Bombyx mori: one gene and its partners. Each later gene encodes a partner of the first gene's protein in a complex. Links are inferred from orthologs where the notes say so. Each region holds a gene or a part of one and is shown in the gene's direction. Other genes may lie near its edges.

The links. The genes of interacting proteins can lie anywhere in the genome.
Region 2: the proteins of origin recognition complex subunit 3 (region 1) and ORC5 are in contact, whole or in part, in a crystal structure (PDB 4XGC), measured with the Drosophila melanogaster proteins. The link is inferred for Bombyx mori from reciprocal best matches to the Drosophila melanogaster genes Orc3 and Orc5. Residues at the interface, in NP_476904.1 of Drosophila melanogaster: Ile105, Gln107, Leu140, Lys141, Val144, Cys183, Thr184, Met185, Lys186, Gln187, Glu213, Cys214, Asp222, Leu225, Ile226, His230, Ala243, Thr244, His250, Tyr255, Ser258, Ser259, Arg262, Leu263, Ala270, Pro272, His302, Ile303, Leu305, Tyr306; in NP_477132.1 of Drosophila melanogaster: Ile72, Glu73, Tyr75, Ile79, Glu82, Asp86, Asp94, Arg130, Tyr291, Met292, Arg293, Ile294, Glu295, Leu319, Glu320, Leu321, Pro322, Tyr323, Tyr324, Ala325, Asp383, Leu386, Ala387, Tyr390, Val397, Leu399, Thr400, Cys401, Asn402, Leu403.
Region 3: the proteins of origin recognition complex subunit 3 (region 1) and origin recognition complex subunit 4 are in contact, whole or in part, in a crystal structure (PDB 4XGC), measured with the Drosophila melanogaster proteins. The link is inferred for Bombyx mori from reciprocal best matches to the Drosophila melanogaster genes Orc3 and Orc4. Residues at the interface, in NP_476904.1 of Drosophila melanogaster: Ala217, His250, Gly251, Leu253, Pro254, Tyr255, His256; in NP_477320.1 of Drosophila melanogaster: Lys395, Glu398, His399, Ile402, Lys419, Lys422.

The regions. Positions count from the first base shown.
Region 1 is NC_085128.1:8,981,894-8,989,149, forward strand, and holds the start of origin recognition complex subunit 3, read left to right. Parts: upstream 1-2,244; 5' UTR 2,245-2,757; coding exon 2,758-2,784; intron 2,785-2,877; coding exon 2,878-3,024; intron 3,025-3,661; exon of another isoform or gene 3,662-3,667; coding exon 3,668-3,846; intron 3,847-4,263; coding exon 4,264-4,366; intron 4,367-5,880; coding exon 5,881-6,098; intron 6,099-6,464; coding exon 6,465-6,612; intron 6,613-7,256.
Region 2 is NC_085126.1:11,149,945-11,156,671, reverse strand, and holds ORC5 (origin recognition complex subunit 5), read left to right. Parts: upstream 1-2,843; 5' UTR 2,844-2,915; coding exon 2,916-4,298; 3' UTR 4,299-4,354; downstream 4,355-6,727. Other genes in the region: cyclic AMP-regulated protein, read right to left, coding at 2,406-2,522, 4,604-4,733. UniProt on the Drosophila melanogaster protein: Component of the origin recognition complex (ORC) that binds origins of replication. DNA-binding is ATP-dependent, however specific DNA sequences that define origins of replication have not been identified so far.
Region 3 is NC_085108.1:2,849,681-2,856,906, reverse strand, and holds the start of origin recognition complex subunit 4, read left to right. Parts: upstream 1-2,553; 5' UTR 2,554-2,699; coding exon 2,700-2,909; intron 2,910-3,571; coding exon 3,572-3,697; intron 3,698-4,294; coding exon 4,295-4,517; intron 4,518-5,356; coding exon 5,357-5,581; intron 5,582-6,485; coding exon 6,486-6,706; intron 6,707-7,105; coding exon 7,106-7,226.

The DNA.
Region 1 (7,256 bases):
AATGAAATGAACTGAAATTAATTTATTTGTTATATGTAGACAATTAAATAACTCTTAAATGACAAGTCAATACACATAACACAATACACATAGTACTTGATCTCTATTTACAAAATATTGGTTATATTATTATTATTAAGTTCAGTTAATTTTCTGTAGTCTTATTAGCCAGATATTGTTTCTTTTTATTTGTGTTTTTTATGTATCTTTAGCTTGTGATGTGTATTGTGAGCCTAATAAAATAAATAAATAATATAACATTTCCCCTATTTTATGTAAATTCTTTTTTTTTCAACGAAATAAATAATTTATTTTAGTCAATATCTAAGTGGACCATGAGTATCATTAAAATTTCGCAATTTAAATTTCAATTCAATTAAAAATCGCCATTTTTCTTTAATAAATCTAAAATCGACTTTATATTTACAATCACTATTTCGCGACTTTTAAGTTTTTGTTTCAAAACCTTAACATCTTGTCGTAATTTTGCTTTTCTCGGGGCATTTTTTATTTCTTGCGTTTGAGTACTTGATTCCTCTTGTTTGACCTTTATATAGGACATTTTCCAGAAATTCCAACGTCATATTTACTAGAAGATCCTCCTCGTTCGCTTGACGTCAGGCAAATGATATACATGCTTGCGTGCGACGCTATTCAATACAATAAACAAAGTCAAAAAAATACCACGTGATTCCTCTTATAATATGAAAAATACATTGCAAAATTATAGTTTTTCACGATTGTTTTTTCAAATTTAATATATGACATAGATTAAGTACAATTTACAAGACAAATGGTATTAAATATTATTATGAGAAAAAATATCTAACATTTTAAAAATATATACTCACACTAGTAAAAATTTATCAATGAATCTGATATATGGAAGGATATTCCACAAACTGGAGAGGATTCTCGCTTAAAACCACTTACAATACAAGTGTTCGCCATGATTACACGGAAACTTTCACGATTTTCGGAAAAAAACAAGCCACAAGCTGTATCAGTGCCCTTTTAACTTCGAACTACAAACGTAAATAGACGCCATTTTTCTTTTAATCCATTCATAGCTCTTTTTCGGTGATGCCAACAATTAATCTGGCTTCCCATGAAAACCATCAGAAATCTACTTACCTACCATTAAATTTTCCATTAAACAGAGTTCTTATTAATATAGAACAATATTTTTTTTGTTAATGAGCTTTATTAATATATGATGTTCTAATAAAAATCAATATATATCATATAATCAATACTTCTTATATAATTTATTTTAATAAATTGTCATCATCAGCAACTAATTTCACCATGACTTTGTACGTTTCTTTTGAACCAATTTAATTTTTGACGTTGATGGAAATTCTAAATTCTCGCAGCATTTTCTAGTTAAGTTTAAGTCACATCGTTTAAATAATATGTATTTAGATATATTATTGTCATAAAATGTTTAAAATCCTGTAAAGTGGATTGATTTTAACCTTTTCGATAATTTTCAACAACGCCCTAAAGGATAAGACGTCCGGTGCATTCGTATGAAGCGATGCACCGGTGTTCGAATCCCGCAGGCGGGTACCAATTTTTCTAATGAAATACGCACTCAACAAATGTTAACGATTGACTTCCACGGTGAAGGAATAACATCGTGTAATAAAAATTAAACCCGCAAAATTATAATTTGCGTAATTACTGGTGGTAGGACCTCTTGGGAGTCCACACGGGTAGGTACCACCACCCCACCTATTTCCGCCGTGAAGCAGTAATGCGTTTCGGTTCGAAGGGTGGGGTAGCCGTTGTAGCTGTACTGAGACCTTAGAACTTGTATCTCGAGGTGGGTGGCGCATTTACGTTGTAGATGTCTATGGGTTCCGGTAGCCACTTGACATCAGGTGGGCTGTGAGCTCGTCCACCTATCTAAGCAATAAAAAAAAAGCCCAAGCTACTACTGATACTACTGATAACTAAGACAGGGGTCCAAATTACGAGATTTTGTGGAAAATCCTCTAAGCTAGCAACACTGCTTTTTGTTTGTAAAATGTGCGAGAGGGACACCACCACTTAATAGTCATTCTCTTTTCAGACCGTTTTTCCTTACATCTTTTGCTATTTAAAAATAAACTTTAAGCCATAGAGATAAAGTATATTTTTAGTTTTTATGTCAAACGAAGTAAGCACTCCAGTTAGAATAGTAACTCTATGGAAATCTCAAATAAATTATATGTTTAATCTATGACTGAAATTAAAAAGGTTAAACCAGACTTTTTGGCGGGAACGCGAGGAGTGCAGTTGTGTGATTTGTTTTATTTTGTCTATTTAGTGTTTCTTCGGGTTTAAATGTGTAATAATGGTGGTTTATTAACTGTTTAATATCTGTGAAAGTGCACAAATGTGGGAAAATGAAACAAAGCTGCTGGACGTAACTTCTCGGGTTCCTCCAAAAAGTCCACTGAAAAAATCTCAGTAAATGACCACCATTTTACTGCGATTATATTTCATCCCATATCATCTCATTAAATTTCATCCCAGTTGATTAATGTCTCAAATCAATCATCTTCATTTCATTTCACTCCATATTATCATTTTTCATAAAATAAGATTATAAATTAAAATAAGACATGACTTAAAGGTCTTAGTTACCAGGTCATAAAATCTTTTAAAAAAAAAAAGGTTAAACCAGGTTAAACATTGTTTTTTTCGGTTTTGTACTACAGTTTAATATTCTATGAAGAAAGATTATTATAGAATTAAGAACGGAATTCAATGGAATCCACTGTGTCAGTTTCAAAGGTAAAGTATTTTTTTTATTTACTGCTTAAAAGTAATGAAATATTACTGTTTGAGAGATAGAATAATTAATTTTAATTGTTTTTCAAATTACAGGGAGTGTTTTTATTTCCAAATGGATTTCAAAACTCGAAAACTCTTTCAAAGAAAAAAACAAATTTATTGTTTTGTAAATTATTTCAAGAAGAGTGTTGGTATCTTACTTATAGAAAAAATTGGGAAGCTATTAAAACTAAATTAAATGTAAGTTGAATTCAGAAAATACTGAAAAGCTGTTCGGTCATACAGCCATGAAAAAAAACTTTGTCTTGTAAAAACTTATACAGTTATGTCTTAAGCTTCAATTAAGAGCTACTAAAGATAACTATAATTCAGGAGACTACTAAATATTGTTATTTCCATATTTAAAAAAAATCATACAACTCTTTTGTGTCTTTTATTGTAGCCTTTTCATAGATTTTTAATTTGATGTAAAGCAAAAATTGGAGTAGTAGTAAATTGTGGTAGTTACTATTTTCAAATGTGTCCTGAATACATCTAAACCATCAAAACCCTAGCAGCAGATTGAACTCAGGTCACTTTATACCTATAGTAACCTACCCAACTTATAGTATCACCTTAATGAGCTTCTCATCCATTGTTGTTGCCATAAATGTTACTTTCTATAAGTAATTGTTTATACTATGTGTACCTGGCCTTAGTTGTTTTGATTTTGCTCCAGTGATTTTATTACTTGGATATTTTAACTTTCAATTCCAACAATAGTTGGATAATTCAGAATATTGAATAAGGCTTGTGCATTGATTTTTTTATATTAAGTGCTGCTTATTCTTACATGAATAAGGAATAAAACATTTTTCAACATGTATGTGTATATCTTTTAAAGGAACTCAATCAAAGGTCTTACAGTGTGCTGTTGAATGATATAGTAAATTATATAAAGCAGTTTTATGGAAGTGAAGAAGCATTTATGTTGGAAGGAATAATTCCTAGCGCAACACTACTAACTGGGGTTAGTCAGCCTGATCATGTATCACAATTTGATGCACTCATAAATATAATAAAGTAAGTGGTGCCAACTATAATAATTGCATGTAGCCAAATGAGCAAATATTAATAGCTGTAATATATTAAGACTAAAAGTATATAGTATGATAAAATGAAATATGGAGATAAAAATGAATGAAATAAAATTCAGGATACAGTTATTTGAAAATTCAAATTGATGATAAATTACAATTGCATTTATTACCACACCATGTTTATTTATTTGCTTTTAATATCATATGCCTACAGATTAAGCATAGCAAAGTTTCATTGTCTACTACACATTTACTTAATTTTAGGACTGAAAGAAAAATTAAAGAAATAGCCTAAATAAGACTTGCTCAATCCCGAACCATAAACCTCATAAACTGGTAGTCATAATCAGTTCATTCCGGAATGCAAGGGACTGTTTATTAACTTTAAAAATTCTTACAGAGATGAAATAAGTCCTCATGTGGCAATAGTTAATTCACAAGATTCGTTATCATTAAAACATATAGTTGAGAACATGGTTTGGCAGTTGATTGGGAATGATTTAGTAAGTGATGTCAATCTATTTAGAAATGTTTTTGTAACACCAATATATTTTACTAGTTGTATTGTGACTTCTATGAGATATGTAAGTGGCTTACAGGCTAACAACAGAGAGACAACTCTTTCATCACAGTGCTTGGTATCAAAGTACTGGATCGAGATACTGCCAAGTTGACATTTAAAATGTTGGTAGTTCTGAATAGAACCAAGAAGCACACCTGCATACAGACCTATGTCATATAAATCCCATGTTCATCTCACATGAATTACATAGCAGCTACTTTCATTTGACTCATTACATAAGGTCATTTGTTTTTATAAATGGTTTGAATCATCAGGATCTATGAAAGCTCTTTAGCTCTCTGTTTATCGTATGATTCATAGGGAGTGCTCTGAGGATTTTTTGTTTTTATCGCCTGTAGGCGCAAAAGCATACAGCTGGTGAGTGATTACCGTCATTCATAGACATCAGCACTGCCAGGACAGAGTTTGCTAGAGGCAGCCACTCCCTACAAGTTTGAGATGATCTGGTCATCTTTATGCCATCATACTGCCGTGACTGGAGCAGAGCTCTCCTATATTATCTAGAATCACTGCGTTTATCCCTAGTGCGTTTCCAATGATATTTTTCGGCACTTACCGTACAGCTTTGGAATGAAATTGTCTACACAATAATTCCTGATTACTATGACATGCTCTTCTTCGAGTGAAGTTTAAGGAAAGGACTCGGCAGTAGTTGTGCCTTTGACATTGCTAAAGTTCGCGAGCGACGCGGCGACGGCGACAAAAGCAATAAAAAAAGAAACTGAATAATTTAATTTTTCTCCTACCTATGCCGAAAGTTCGGTTTTCTTCCCGCTGTACATGGAAGAAATAGTAACTTTTCCTCCCTGGGTACAAGTGCGCATGCGCGTTAGTGTCTACGTCTGCTCTCACGCACCTATAATTCTCCGTCATTGTTGTGCTCGGGTAATTTGCAATATTGTGTTTAGTGTAAAAGTGAAGTAAACTAAAGGCAATAAAATATAATAGTGAAGTATTAAACAAAGATGAATTCATCAGACAGTTCTTATTCAATTAGTAGTACTTTATTTAAAAATTAAAAAACAGTTAAATTGTTTTGTTATGAGTATGAGGGGGCTCCGCCCCCCTTACCTCCTGCCAGGGCTTCGCCTCTGGACCCCGGCTCGGTACTCCACGAACTTTCGGCCTGGTAGGAGAAAAAATAGTATGTGCACCGCGGGAAAAAAGTAGGGCATCTCATCCCGCGTGTTTGCCTCTTTTCTTCATTGTATTTGTTTTGTATTAAAATTTGTATATGAAATCTTTACATTTTTTTTAGTTTTATAATTTTCTATTCTAATGTTTATTACAAATAAAGTTTCGTAAATTATTAATAAGAGTCAAAGTAACTGCGACCCGCCAAAAAAAATTAAAATTTGAATTGGACCATTGATTAAAAACGTTGCTCACCCTTGTTATAATGTAATGTTTACTGTTATTTGTTTCTGTTTGCAGAAAAATGACGAAGAATGCGATGTATTATCAACAAAACATAAATTAAAAAAGAGTCAATGTACAATGAAAACCCTGAAAACGTGGTACCATTCAAAATATACAAATGAATCTACTAATAAGAAGAAAAAATCAATTTCGACAAAGACATTAGTAATAGTAATACCTGATTTTGAAAGCTTTAATTGTCACTTGTTACAAGATTTTGTAATGATAATAAGGTAAAAGTATTTTTACTAACTTCATATATATCAAATTCATGTAATGGAAACTAAAAATTGAAATCAATATTTAAATCTACATCATTACTCACAGTAGTAGATTATTATGATAGTAGTATAGTATAGTAATAGTTATAGATACAATTAAATTAAGAGTTCGATCGCATGTATAGTGGCGTCAGTCACTTAATTTCATAAGAAATATAGTAAGATTAGTAAGCTATCTGCTGTAAAATAAGAAAAATATATAATTACAATAGTAGAAATATGTCAAAAAAAGTATTACAATTTCTACTGGTAATAAATATAGTTTTAAATGAATGTCTAATATAGTATAATATAAAATAGTTACTCAATTTATTTCAGTTCGTACATATCTTCCTTGCCCATAGTGCTTGTTTTTGGGGTGGCAACATCTGTTTCGGCATTGCACAAGTCTTTCCCATATGAGGTGTCATCGAAACTTTTAATAAAAGTTTTTCATTCACATTCGTCTGCGGTTTATATGAATCAGGTTAGTTTGTTGCTTCTCTTCTTTCTTTAGATAATAATCTAAGAAGGAACTGGAACATATTTTTTTGGCAGTGTTAACTAATAAACATGGGTGGATAGTTATAGAAATTTTAGACGTTATAGAAGGAACAGATGTTAAGCATTGCCTGCTTGCTTGTTTTGAAATGAAAAGTGCAAGCGATGATACACATTCAGCTTTTAAAATAGAAAATAATACTCAAATGGATTCTCGGACCCGATTTTAATATAAATTGAACAGGCGTGATCAGTTTTTTATTTGAATGTTAACCATGTTATTTGTTTAGCTGGAAATTATTTTTACTTTGCCATAAATGTCTAAAGGTTAATCTAATGAATAAAAATATTTTTTTTCATTACACGCAGCTAATGGAACATTGTGAGGTATTTGATTTACGTGGGATATAAAGGTGGCTTTGTCTATGTATATTGGCACCTATCAATGTTCTGGCTTGGACAAAATCTCCCAACTGGAATAAGAAACGGAACATCTCAATCTTGCCAGACTATAATTCGCCACCTGTTATCCGTTGATGGTACTACGTCACGAATCTTTATTGAAGTATCGAAAGATCTTATGATTTTTATGTACTTCAAAAACGGAGTATAATGTTTATATTCGAATAT
Region 2 (6,727 bases), on another chromosome or scaffold:
CCATATAACGCTGGGATTTGTAACGTTATATTTCTGTACTGTGAAATTTAATATCTGTACAGTTCATAATGAATTTGGCGTACCTTTGCACATTGTGTCAATTGTGTTGTTATAAAAATAAATTAAATTAATTTATTCAATTTTTGTTCCTAGTTTTTGAATTGTAAAAACATTGGCATTATTGTATTATATATGTACATATATATTTTTTGTATATAACGCGTTATATGGGGTCATACAAAAGCGTTTTTTGTGAATACTACAACGCGTTTCCTATAACGCGGAACCAATCTACCGTGTAATAGGGGGAATTACTGTAAATATAAAAAAAAAAAGGTCTGTAGCGAAGTGTCGCTGCCAGCAACGCGAACCAACGAGCTTCTTAAGAAAATAGAGAGTACTAAACAAAAATCAGATTTTTTTTATTATTTTTTTATAATTATTATCCATTATATTTATTTAGGTACAAACATAATTTTGTTCTAAACGACCTTCCAAAATGAGCGATGTGGGGTGATAATATTTTAACATTAATAATTTTTGTATGCATTTGATCCGCATTGAAAAAGCGCCTTAAAATAAAACGAATAAGCAATATTAAGTAATTTAATTAATGTACAATAAAACTGTTGTTTGTAAAATTGTTACCATCTCGTTCAACTTATACAAAATGTAATGTTGTACTATATTAATGTATTTGTAAGTGAAAATAGCGTGGGAAGTATTTTAATGCTTATCTAGAATACAGGGTTTTGTGTATCCTTCAACTATTTGAGTCGACTATTATCAAAGCCGGCAATGTGACTTTTGGACAATTATTGGTAAATCAGAAAAACGAATTATTGACTTTGTATTCCATTGGCAGCCACAAAACTCTTCTGAACGAGATCTTAGATAAATAACAGGTTAAGTATTAACCTTTATTTAATGCAGGTTTTGAACCGTATTCTTTGAAGGAGACGATTATATTCAAATCAATCTGTATTGACATATCAATAACATTTTCTTGTTCAAATGCACAGATTGCCACCTTTGATAATAGACGACTCATTTGTTGTTCAAATCTGAAAAATAATTCACTTGCTGATTCATTGCCTTAATGTGATGAATTAAATAAAAAATCTGTTGTTTTTCAATTAAAGACCATGAATATATTTAGTAGCCAAATTAAAAGGCAGATTTTTTTTTTTAGTAATAAGTAAATAAATGTGTTCCATCAGAACCAAGTCGCAGTGTCACCTTATATTTTTATTAAGGAACTATGTGGTATTACCGATCACTATTCTAACATTTTATTCTTTTTTTTTTGCAAAATAAAAAACTTAATATTTGGGTAGCCATTGTTGTTTTATTCCGTATGATATGACCTAGGATACGCGTAGATCCGCTGAGAGGTACTTATCATCGGCAAATATCTTACTGTTAATGTATAGTATAAATGAGGTCCGTCAGCGCAAAAGTGGTCTAAGCTTACCATAGTTATTATGGAGATATTGAGATTTGAATTTATCTTTACAATACTTCGCCAGCCAAAAAATACGTCCAAAAATAATGTTTACAAAGGCATCTGTTATCTGTGTGAAACTTGGGCGATTTTGCATCAAAATTTATTATGTATTAAATAAATTGCAATACATAAAGACGAATATGAATTGTGGGTTAAGGCACTTTTGCGCTGACCGCCTCAAATATCTTATAAACTTCCTAGTGAAATGATGATGGTCGTTGAAAATACTGACTTTGCGAACATGAGTTGAATCTACGAAAATGGATGGGTATTTAACAGATTCCTCTTCTGGTAGAAATATTTATTACCAAAGTAACATTCCGTTAGTCTTCAATAATTTGAAAAACATCGCAAGCAAACGAAAACGCCGACACTCAAAGTTTCTGACACACCGGAATGAAACAAAAAATATATTGGAAATCATGGTTTTATTGATATCAATTTACATTACTAGTCAATGTATAAAAAGCTTGTTTACATTAAATTCAATTTAGTATTAAAGATTTTTAAAAATTTTAAGTAAAAAATAAATGCGTTCACCGCGCTTACTAAAATGCACGACAGATTATCTACTTTTTATTTGGTAAATCCTTATTAAAACTACACTGAAGAATATTATATAACATGTGTATTTTTGAAAAATAAATAATGAATTTCTATACGTGATTAAAAATGTGATCAATTTGACACAAGATAATAAAAATGACTAATGAATTATTGCTCGACTACAAAAATGGCCAAGCCACGGCCCCAATTAAAATATAAGTCCTAAAATCCACTTGTAAAATATTTTTATGTATAATATTGTATCTTTGCACTCATTATTTATATAATAGAATGAAAGAGACAATATTCGTTTAAAATTCCATGTGGCAAGTGCGGGGCAAACATTTTCTATTCATAAATCTCTAACGCCAGTGCCGTAGTTCGCTCCCCCTGCCCTATTGAGTGCATCCTTGAATTGGTCGATGTCTATCTCAGACTGATTTTCAAGTTGCAACTCCACAGCAAAGTTCTGAAACATAATAAAAACTAGTTAATTGAGAACTAGCATTGAAATTGAAAGGTGAGTGAAACTAGACCTTCCTAATTTCAAATTATTTTTTTATATATTTGTGTCTGTCAATATCTGTCTGATAATAATAAAATATTAATAAAACAAGGTTCTAATAATTAATTTTAAATCCAAATGAATTACGAATAAAACGAATTAAAGTAGGTATCTTTTTTGATTCTCAATATTCGTCGTACTAAGCCGGCACTTTATTTGAAGCACAGACTATCAAATGAAATTTACAAAGTTCAAAGTTGTCAAAATTGGAATGTGCGCAAAAATGTCAAACCTGAACATACGTTATAGAATTGAATTAACACAAAAGCTTACGTAAATAAAATAAATTATATTAAAATGGATGAAATATACAGTAAAGTTGTGTGCAGAGAGAATCAGTTAAACGATTTGTTCAATTTATTCGGAGATGACAACGAACCATTGCCGTGTTCTATTTTTATAAGTGGAAGTATGGCAACCGGCAAAACGTTATGCTTACAAACTGTTCTCAATTATTTAAGTTATAAACATGTATTTGTCGACTGTATCGAGTGTTATTCGTCAAAGATAATGTTCGAGAACATATTGTCTGCCCTCAACGATGAAGACGAGGACGTGAAATGTGAAAATTTCATGGATTTTATAAACTGTTTGAACCGGCTTCAAAATAATTATGAACCAATAGTAATTGTATTCGATAGAGTCGAGAGACTACGCAACATGGATCAGAACCTCTTGCCAGTGCTACTAAAGCTTAGAGAATTTTGTAAATTGAACATCTGCACGATATTGGTGACGCATTTGATATTCGAAAATTTTAATTTCAAATTCGGTGTACGAGAGCCCATAAAACTCTACTTCCCTAACTATAACAAAGAAGAGTTATTCAGGATAATATTTCTCTACCAAAAATCATTTGTACAGCATTTGCTGAACCATTTTGACATAGAAGATGAAACAACAGAACTAATTGAAAAACCAGAGTTATTTGCAAACTTCTTGAATGCATTCTTGAGTGTATTCTATAGGCCATGTCGAGACCTTATTGAATTAAAGCATATGGCACGCCTAAACTTCATCAAATACTGTGAACCAATCATAAAAGGTGAAATACAATCAAATGATCTAACTAAATTGTGGAGACACATCTCACCAATCTTGAAAACAAGCCTAGAACTTTTATACTTAAGAATTAGTGATATGAGGCAATTCAAACCTTCACCGGGTAAAGAAAACAGTGAAAGCTTATATGCCAAAGAATTCTGTCTGGAGAAAACGTTAAAAGATGAACTTTCTTCTACAAAAACATTTGCACAAAGCTTCGAACTACCATACTTTGCGAAATACTTACTAATTGCAGCATATTTGGCTAGCTACAATCCGCCCAAAGAAGACAAGAGATTGTTTATGAAGAACCACGGGAAACAACGTAAACAAATGAGACAAATCAAAGCAAAGGCTAAAATTAATGAAAAATTAAGTACACAGCTCGGTCCTAAAGTTTTTACTTTAGATCGATTGTTGGCAATATTCTATGCTATCTTAGAAGATAAGATCGGTTTAACCAGCAATCTGTTGGCACAAATAGCGACATTAGTTGAGCTAAAATTGATAGCGGGAAGCAAAGAGATAGATTTAGATACAGCAAAATATAAATGTATTGTTGGCTATGATTTCATTTCAGCCATTGCTCAGACTGTCGGTTTTAACATTAGAAAATATTTGTATGATTTTATTTGATGTATTGCTGTCAAGTTGCGATACATATTTCTCTAATAAACATTTTTCTGAAACAATTTGATTTTTAGTACTTATATGGGTAAATGAGCTCATGGTCCATGGTTCCAACCAATTTGAAAAATGAGGTCAAAGTCCAATCCGTATTATTAAAATAGCTGGCACATCCTGCAATTCGGAACAATTTTTTTGATAATTTTTTTTTCAATTTCGTGATTAATTTAGGGAGATGTTTAGGATTGAACAAAAAGAAGCTGTAAGCACGCGGGGGAAGAACTTATCCAAAAATAAAATGGGCTTATACGAACCGATATGATGTCCTTGATGATAGCTTTGTCGGTGGACATCTTGGCTCGGTTGATCACAGACACGTTCGGTCCTACCCACGTCATGAACATAAATTTCTTGCGTTTAGACATCTCGTCTCCCATCTGCAACCTTCAGTCCAAAAAATTTATTAAAACAAATATGTGTAATGCAACACACATCTGTTGGACTACGCGAGCCAAGACTTAATTAGAACTCTTTTTACCGATTTATCACGCGGTTTTTGTATTTCTTATTAACCACGTCTCCAATTATTTATAGTTTCCGATCACTCGGCGCCTCAATCATTATTAATAATCACTTTGGTGCTGAGCTTAATTTTACATATTTTTCAAAAAAAGCTAAGGAATTCAGAAAGAAATTACCCACAAAAAAATTTAAATAACTTAAAAATACAAAAATTCATTCACGAAGCAGCTACTGTCGAGTGGTTAGGTCTCCTTTGGAGGCGCTCGGGTAGCTGTTAGTAAATCCCACCCCTCTTGGCTGAGCGCGTGCTCGCCCACCTGTCCTGGTGAAACTGGAAAGGCCTCCGGGCCACCAGTAATCCCTCAAAAAAAGAATCCCAGCTTGGGGTTGGGTGGTAGATGTGTCGCATGTGTCCCTGGTATTATTCATCTGGTCGTGAAAGTTTGTTGGAGGTTTGAGAATTTTTTTTTTTTTTTTTTTTATTGCCCTTGTAGGCAGACGAGCATACGGCCCACCTGATGGTGAGTGGTTACCGTCGCCCATGGACTTCAGCAATGCCAGGGGCAGAGCCAAGCCGCTGCCTATCGCTTAATACTCTCCACAAGCCTCTTTTAAAGAAGGACATGTCATAGCGCTCGGGAAACACCGTGGAGGGGAGCTCATTCCATAGCCGGATGGTACGTGGCAGAAAAGACCTCTGGAAACGCACTGTCGATGACCGCAGTGGCTCCAGGTAGTATGGATGAACTCTACTCCGGTGGCGGGCGGTGCGATGGTAAAAACGAGATGCCGGTATCATCTCGAACAATTCCTCAGAGCACTCCCCATGGAACATTCGGTACAAACTACAGAGGGAACCGAAGTCCCTCCGCAGACCCAAAGGTTCCAAACGATCCGCGAGAATGGGATTATCGACGATTCGAACGGCCCTCCTCTGTATGGAGTCAAATGGAAGAAGCTGGTATTTGGGAGCCCCGGCCCAGAGATGGGAACAGTACTCCACGCGAGGCCGGACTTGTGCTTTATAAAGCAAAAGTCTTTGTCCAGGCGTGAAATACCGCTTCGCTCTGTTGAGGACTCCCAGCATTTTGGACGCCAACTTGGCTTTGCCTTCCAAATGACTCCGAAATTGGACATCACTCGAAATGTCGACCCCAAGTATCCCGATGCTCGCGGAAGGTTGCAGGGATACTCCTTGGAATTGCGGCGCCATGACAAAGGGGTCCTTCTTCGCAGTGAACGCGCAAACTTGTGTCTTCAACGGGTTGAATTGAACTAAGTTCGATTCACCCCACTCGGAGACTCGCCCCAGAGAGTTCTCCACTTCAGACACAAGTTTTGATCGTCTCTCTTGCACCACGCTCCGAGAAAGACTCTGATGGCCGATATATCGCGCATCCCCCGTGCTGTCATCCGCATAGCAATGCATGCCATCAATAGACAGCATGTCATTGATATACAGGATGAAAAGCGTGGGGGAGAGCACCGAACCTTGTGGAACGCCAGCATTAATGGTCATGGTATCAGAACAATCACCGTCCACAACGACCGTGATGCTCCGCCCATCCAGAAAGCTAGCGATCCACTTGCAGAGACCCTCGGGGATTCCGTAAGATGGAAGCTTCGACAGAAGCGCCTTATGCCAGACCCTGTCGAAGGCCTTCGCGATATCAAGGCTCACAGCAAGAGCCTCGCCCTTGCTCTCCAAGGCTTCAGCCCACCTGTGAGTAAGGTATACAAGAAGATCGCCAGCTGAACGACCGTGACGGAAACCGTACTGTCGGTCACTGATCAGCTGGCGATCTTCAAGATACTTCAGGAGTTGTGTGTTTATTATTCGCTCCATCACCTTGGAAAGCAAGGAAGTTATCGCGATAGGCCTATAGCTCGATGGGTCCGACCGGTCACCCTTCTTG
Region 3 (7,226 bases), on another chromosome or scaffold:
ATGGGGAGAATGAAGATAAGTATAATGAACATAGATAGGGGCTCCTTAAATTTACGCTAGGGTCACAAATCCAGTGTCATTCTCAACCTCCTCTCTCAATAACACAATGGACCTGTGTAGTGAATCCATAAATTGTTAGTTTTATTTATTAGTCTCATATGTATCACAATAGTAAGAATGTTGTGTGTGGACTTTTATGCATGGAAAACAAACAGTCATAATACAATGCATAAAACAGGACTTACAAAATATAAAAGTTAATATTCTAGCCTACATACTTGCCTGTAAATTAAATGGAACAATGCGTTATTGGCTTGTGGATGATTCATAATTTTAATTAATCTGCACATAACATAGTCTCGACTGCAACATAAACTTTTATAATTTAATATTATTTTGTTTTACATTGTATCTTATGGCTGTTTGTTATCAATGTTTGTGGTCCCAAACAAGTTTATTTTGAAAACAAACTGTTGTAAACAATTCAGACCTGCCAATGCTATGCTTAACAACGGTGTTGTAATCTTACAACATAATGAAAATTGAAATAATACGCCACCTATCTGCTATACTTACTTTGAAATAGAAAACTGAAAATATCCTGGCTGAATAATTAATTAGTACAGGAGCTTGAAAATCGGCACACACGACAAAGCAGTGATCTGTGTCTCTAAGTTTCAAATCTTTTAGTCTAATACAATCGATCAACAAACACTTTTGTAAAACTATTTTTAAAAGACCATCGTGATAAGGCTCTCTAAACTCAAGTTCTTTGTGAATAAAATCTATACAAATGACACTTATTTTGTGTCTGTTGGATCATCTATGAATAAACATCAAGAAAGACAAAGAAAAAGATATTGTCAGTTAAATCAAAAAACTATCTCTGAACAGGTAGATACACAAATAATCTGTTCATTGCGTGCCTCAAACCATCTTCAAAATATTTTCTAAGTTTGGATCGATAGTGTTGTCCAATAGCTAAATTTCCTAATAATATAATACTATTTCACTTACTGATCTGAGTGAGACATCAATTTATATTAAGCTAAAAGAGTAACGTATCGATTCACTAAACACCGGTTTGCTGTGAAATTGCGGCATTGACTTTGAATAGTGGCCTTGAATGAATGCGGGTATGAGAATTCATGTCTGAAGGTAAACTTTGTGCATATTTTGGTGCTATGATGAAAATGTAATCATATTAATGATTCTGGCGTTAAGCTTAAATACTATAACTTACAATTTTTAAGCTTAAAGCAATATTGACTTCCTCTATTTAGGTACTTCTTTTTTTATAAAATTCAAAGCTGTGCCAAATTGCTGCTGCACTATAACATAATAATTTATAATACAAATTACATTGTGATTATTTAGGGCTCGTGTCTTGTGCGAATTTGCTAAATGAATTTAAGTGGTTGAAACCTGCTGCACTAATTAAAAACTCTCATTTCGGAAAACGCACGACGCTGCATCTATAATTCTGATATTCACATTGTTTTTCGAAAATATTTTCACTTTTTTCCATAAATGGTTGGGTGTTCAGCTACAATCCACGGTGCAATTTTTATAGTTAATAAACGAACGAATACGAAATAAAATTTTGAAAAACTTTGGTTTGTTCACTTTTTAAGTATAATTTTTTACGATCAACTTCTTAAGAAACAAATTGAATTAATTTCCAGATTGTCCCAATTTTCAATAATATGAACGGGTACACAAAAACCGTGGAATTTAAGGTCATGACGAGGACTAAAGATTTATTTTTAGAAATCGTCAAAATGCGAGAACGGGACAATACGAAGTTTTAGGCAATGTACACGAGAATTAAATCCAGGGATATGAATACAAATATTTCTTTGATCGGTTCAAGTTCACACGTTCTCCTATATTCATATGAAGAATACTTGTAACTACTATAAAGTGCTTAAATACTTAAGTTCAATAAATATTTCACGTTATAAGTTTTTAATTCTTAAGGGTGTGAACTAAAAATGTAACTATTTGTTAGAAGAAATTCGGAGCTATATCTCGATTTTCTTGTTATCATATGTTTCATTTAGTCTATTGATTAGATTTCACGAGCATGCGCTCTTTTACTTTCATGCCATAGACATTTTAAGAAGTATCATCTACTTTAAAAATTAACGTGCATACTCCTGAGTTACAAACACTTTTCTTTCATTTAAAAGAGTCACTGAGTACTTGCAACGTACAAGACTTAAAATTGACGCTATTATCTATTTTATTTAAACAGAACGAAACATGCCAATTTATTTTCAAAGTTTCTTTTCGATACATCATAAAAGCCATATTTACTTGTAAACTCAGCTTTATGCACATTTATAAACTAGGAGCAAAGTAGACAAAACGGGTGAATACGATTTAATCTCAAAATGTGTAGTTGACATACTTAGTATGGAGGGTAGAAATATCTTTACCTCCGTAATACTTAGTAGACTATGGTGAACAATCAGTAATCTCAAATATATTAAGTGTATAATCTATGGTGATTATTGAAGGACATCTCTAATTGACAGTGTCAACTGTCATGCTGTTTGATGTTTCTTGGGATGACATTTTATGCCGCGAAAATTTCTTTTTGAACTCATTTTAAATATTTATTAAATAATTTTATGCTTCGATGTATAAAGCTAAAACACTTCACAAAATAATCATAAATAACATTGTCTGAGAAAATGCGTGGATCAATGGATACAGACCCGTTGGCTATTCAAATAAAACTTGTAAGGAAGTACATAAAATTGAAATTAATAGAAGACAATGTATTGTTTCGGGGGCACGACCAGGAAAGAAATCATGTGTACGAATTATTAAGAAGAACTGTCTTACAAGGAGAATCGCATTCGGCTTTACTTATAGGGCCGAGAAGTAGTGGAAAAACCACTGTAAGTTCTTGTGCTTCAATATACAATTCGCGGATTTAATTTACAATATTTTTAAATTGTTTTATGTCCACCAGCTTAGCACAATATAGGTGATTGTGGCCGCTCTCAGCTCTTCATGTGACAGATACATATGTGATAGATAGGTATATATAATGCAGCAAGATTTAAGAGTGGTATGGTTTACTGTCAGTCTATTTGGGTAGGTATGTTGGATTCTGCCTATTTTTTATGAAGTAGCAGTGCATTCCAGCGTGGAAGCTAGGATGATTGTCAAACAATACAATTCTGAATTCTACCTGACCCATGAATGATATTTTTGTTCAGATCCCATCACTTTTATTATTTTCTTTATATTTTCTTTAATAATGTATTGCTAGTAGTACATAGCAACATACCTGCTATATCTTTATCTTTTCCAGAATTTCTGTATAGTTAAGTGGCTGTCTGGAAGAGATCTCTTGATGATGAGATGATAAGATTTGTACAAATGGATCTGCTTGTTGACTGTTTTCTATTGTTAATTGTGTTTTGGTGTGCATATAAAGTATATTCTCTCTCTCTCACTTTCTAGTTACAATTTAATATAAGGTGAAGCAAGGGCCTCTGTACAGAAAATGTTATCTGTTGTGACCTTTCAATAATGGTAAAACATTTCATTTCAGCTACTAAACTCGGTACTTCACCAGCTCTCTAGAGAGACAGATTTGGAGAATGATGCTATTATAATTCAACTGAATGGCCTTGTACATAGTGATGATAAACTGGCCCTTAAAGCTATCACAGCGCAGGTGATTGAGGCCTTTTTATGAATCTAATAAAAATGTCAAAAAGAATTCTATTAATGTTTGTTCAATTGTATTCCTGTATAGCAGGAAAGGTTTTTCTATTATATTTTGTTCTGAATAGGATAGTGAATTGTACTTAACTAAAGACCATTGTGTGTAATAGACTAGACCAGTGTTTCCCAACGTGGTGCCCATAGCCTACAAGTTGGCAATTTGATAATTAAGAAGGGCAATTGCATTAAATCAATAAAGAAAATTGTATTGAAATTATTTTATTATGCTAAAATTATGTATGGGGGGCATAAAAAATTTAAAAATGTTACAGTGGGGCATGGCACAAAAAAGGTTGGGAAACACTGGACTAGACTGTAATAATATGATAAACATGGTGGTTGACTCTTCACTAATGCATTGGATATGAGAAAAAAATCTGTAGCCAAGGTCTTGGTAGGGGGACAACACAATGGCAAAACCTTGGCCACTTTTGAAGCTTGACTACTGGTGTCTTAACCACAGTATAATTAAAGGCAGGCTTAACTAATCTGAATTAAATTGAAGCCTCACCAACTAAGATGGACTCACCTACACTATTCTTTACAGATGCAATTAGAAAATACTGTGGGTGAACGAGTTTTCGGTACCTTTGCCGAGAACCTCTCGTTTTTGTTAAGCTGCATCCAGACTGGTGTTGACAGACGATGTCGAAGCATGGTATTCATTCTAGACCAGTGTGACATGTTTTGCCACAGCGGTATCTCCCAGACATTACTGTATAACTTATTTGACGTAACTCATTCACAGACGGCTCCTATGTGTGTTATCGGTAAGTTCGCTGAGATTGTTTTTGTTGTTTTTCTCAGAATATGTTATAATATACGATTGAGACTGGCCTTTGGCATCACTGTGGTGATGGCATTAACATTGCTACAGTCCTTGCTTATCCTTTAATACATGTTGTGTAGGTTATCCATCATAGGCATTAAAATGCGACTTAATCTGCTTGTCACGTTTTAAAATTAATAATGTATCTTCACTTCATACTATCACACATCTATACTAATATATAAATCTACAGTGGTTTTTACGGATGTTCCATTATAACTACTGAACCATGCGTTCGATTGACATGAAAATTGGTATCCATGTAGAAAATACATGTACTTAATGGATAGGCTAATATTTATATGAGTGTTGGACTTACTGGTGGTAGGACCTCTTGTGAGTCCGCACGGGTAGGTACCACCACCCTGCCTATTTCTGCCGTGAAGCAGTAATGCGTTTCGGTTTGAAGGGTGGGGCAGCCGTTGTAACTATACTGAGACCTTAGAACTTATCTCAAGGTGGGTGGCGCATTTACGTTATAGACGTCTATGGGCTCCAGTAACCACTTAACACCAGGTGGCTGTGAGCTCGTCCACCCATCTAAGCAATAAATAAAAAAAATAAAAAAAACTTCCTACACCAGTTGCGGGGGCGTTAATGACGAGAATCTTTCTGGGGGTGAGAAATAATAATAATGCCTAGCTAGTCTTAAATATATTTGGTATTTGATGCCTACTTGTTTCTATGTGTCTTTCCATTACCATTAACACAGGAGAAATCCTTGCTCGAAGATGTTAAATCTTCATTTCATTAAATATCATGCTTCCTTACTGTGCACAGGTGTAACAAATCGCTTAGACATTATGGAGTTGTTTGAAAAAAGGGTCAAATCCCGTTTTTCCCATCGTCACATATTCATATTTCCTAATGAAGTCAATGATGATGACCGGTATGATATTATCTCGCCTCTGGAAGGGAGAAAGAGATTGTTTGTGGAATTGCTGAGTCTGCCCCTGGAGGGTTCTGTGTCGCCGAGGAAGAAAAGAAAATCAAGGAAGTCCATCGGTGAGCTAATATAATTGCTTACGTGATATTCTATACTAGATTATATTTCATCCCACTGCATTGAATGCGTGTCCGCACATGCCGCCTCATGCTTTGTCGCCGGAGAAGCAGTGGCCGGAAATCTAATATTTGTAAAGTAGATAATAAGTTTTGCTTACACATTGTTATTAGATACCTAGTTTTTTTTTTTCTGTATAGAAGGAAAGATGAATTAATTAATAATAATAATAATGATTAATAATGACTTTTTATTTTTTTATTGTTTATTTGGGTGGACGAGCTCAGAGCCCTCCTGGTGTTAAGTGGTTATTGGAGCCCATATACATCTACGATGTAAATGCGCCACCCACCTTGAGATATAAGTTCTAAGGTCTCAAGTTTAGTTACAACAGCTGCTCCGCCCTTCAAACCGAAACGCATTACTGCTTCACGGCAGAAATAGGCAGGGCGGTGCTACCTACTCGCGCGGACCCACAAGGAGTCCTACCACCAGTAATTACGCAAATTATAATTTTGCGGCTTTAATTTTTATTGCACGATGTTATTCCTTCACTCTTCACCGTGGAAGTCGATCGAGAACATTTGTTGAGTACGTATTTCATTAGAAAAATTGGTACCCGCCTGCGGGATTCGAACACCGGTGCATCGCTCGATACGAATGCACCGGACGTCTTATCCTTTAGGCCACGACGACTGTAAAATTAATGAACGAGCGAATGAATTTATGAATGAGACAAACAAATTTCACAGGTCTAGTCACTTTTGTTTTATAGAATACGATTTCCTTAATATTTTAAATTATTCTGTAGCAATGTAAATATCCTTAAAGGAGGTCTATATCCAGCAGTGGATGTCCAATGATTGATGTATCGATAAATAAATTAATTTAGTAACATTTTTTCAGCCAAAACTGATGAAACGGCCTGCACATCCACAGTCTTTGCAATACCAGAACATATATTAAAAGGGAAACTCGACGAGCAATGTTTGTCTACGATGGACCGAGCCTTTGTGAGCGACTGGAATGCCCATATCAGAAGTTTGATTGAAAACGAAAAAGTCATTGACGCTTTAGAGAAGCTATGTTACTATACCGTTGATGAGCAAACTTTTAGGAATGTTTTGGTAAGTTCGAACTTTATTGTATATTTTTTCCTGTACTTAATTGTTGGAAGTGCAAAGGATTATTTTAACAACACGAGGATGACTTGGCCTACGGCCTCAATCAGGGATAACTTGTTGATACAAACTCGATGGGTAGACGAGCTCACAGCCCACCTGGTGTTAAGTGGTTACCGGAGCCTATAGACATCTACAATGTAAACGCCGCCATCTACCTTGAGATATGAGTTCTAAGGTCTCAGTATAGTTACAACGGCTGCCCCACCCTTCAAACCGAAACGCATTACTGCTTCACGGTCGAAATAGGCAGGGTGGTGGTACCTACCCGTGCGGACTCACAAGAGGTCCTACCACTAGTAAACCACCAGTCAGTGACATTAATTGTGTAAATTGAATTTTCAGTTTGAAACAATCAGTAAACTGTCTCCGACGAAACCGAATATAAACGTCATAGATCTAACAACGGCCATAGACAACGCAGTGGCTCCGGAGCACAGAGTCAAAGTGTTGCAGTCGCTATCTA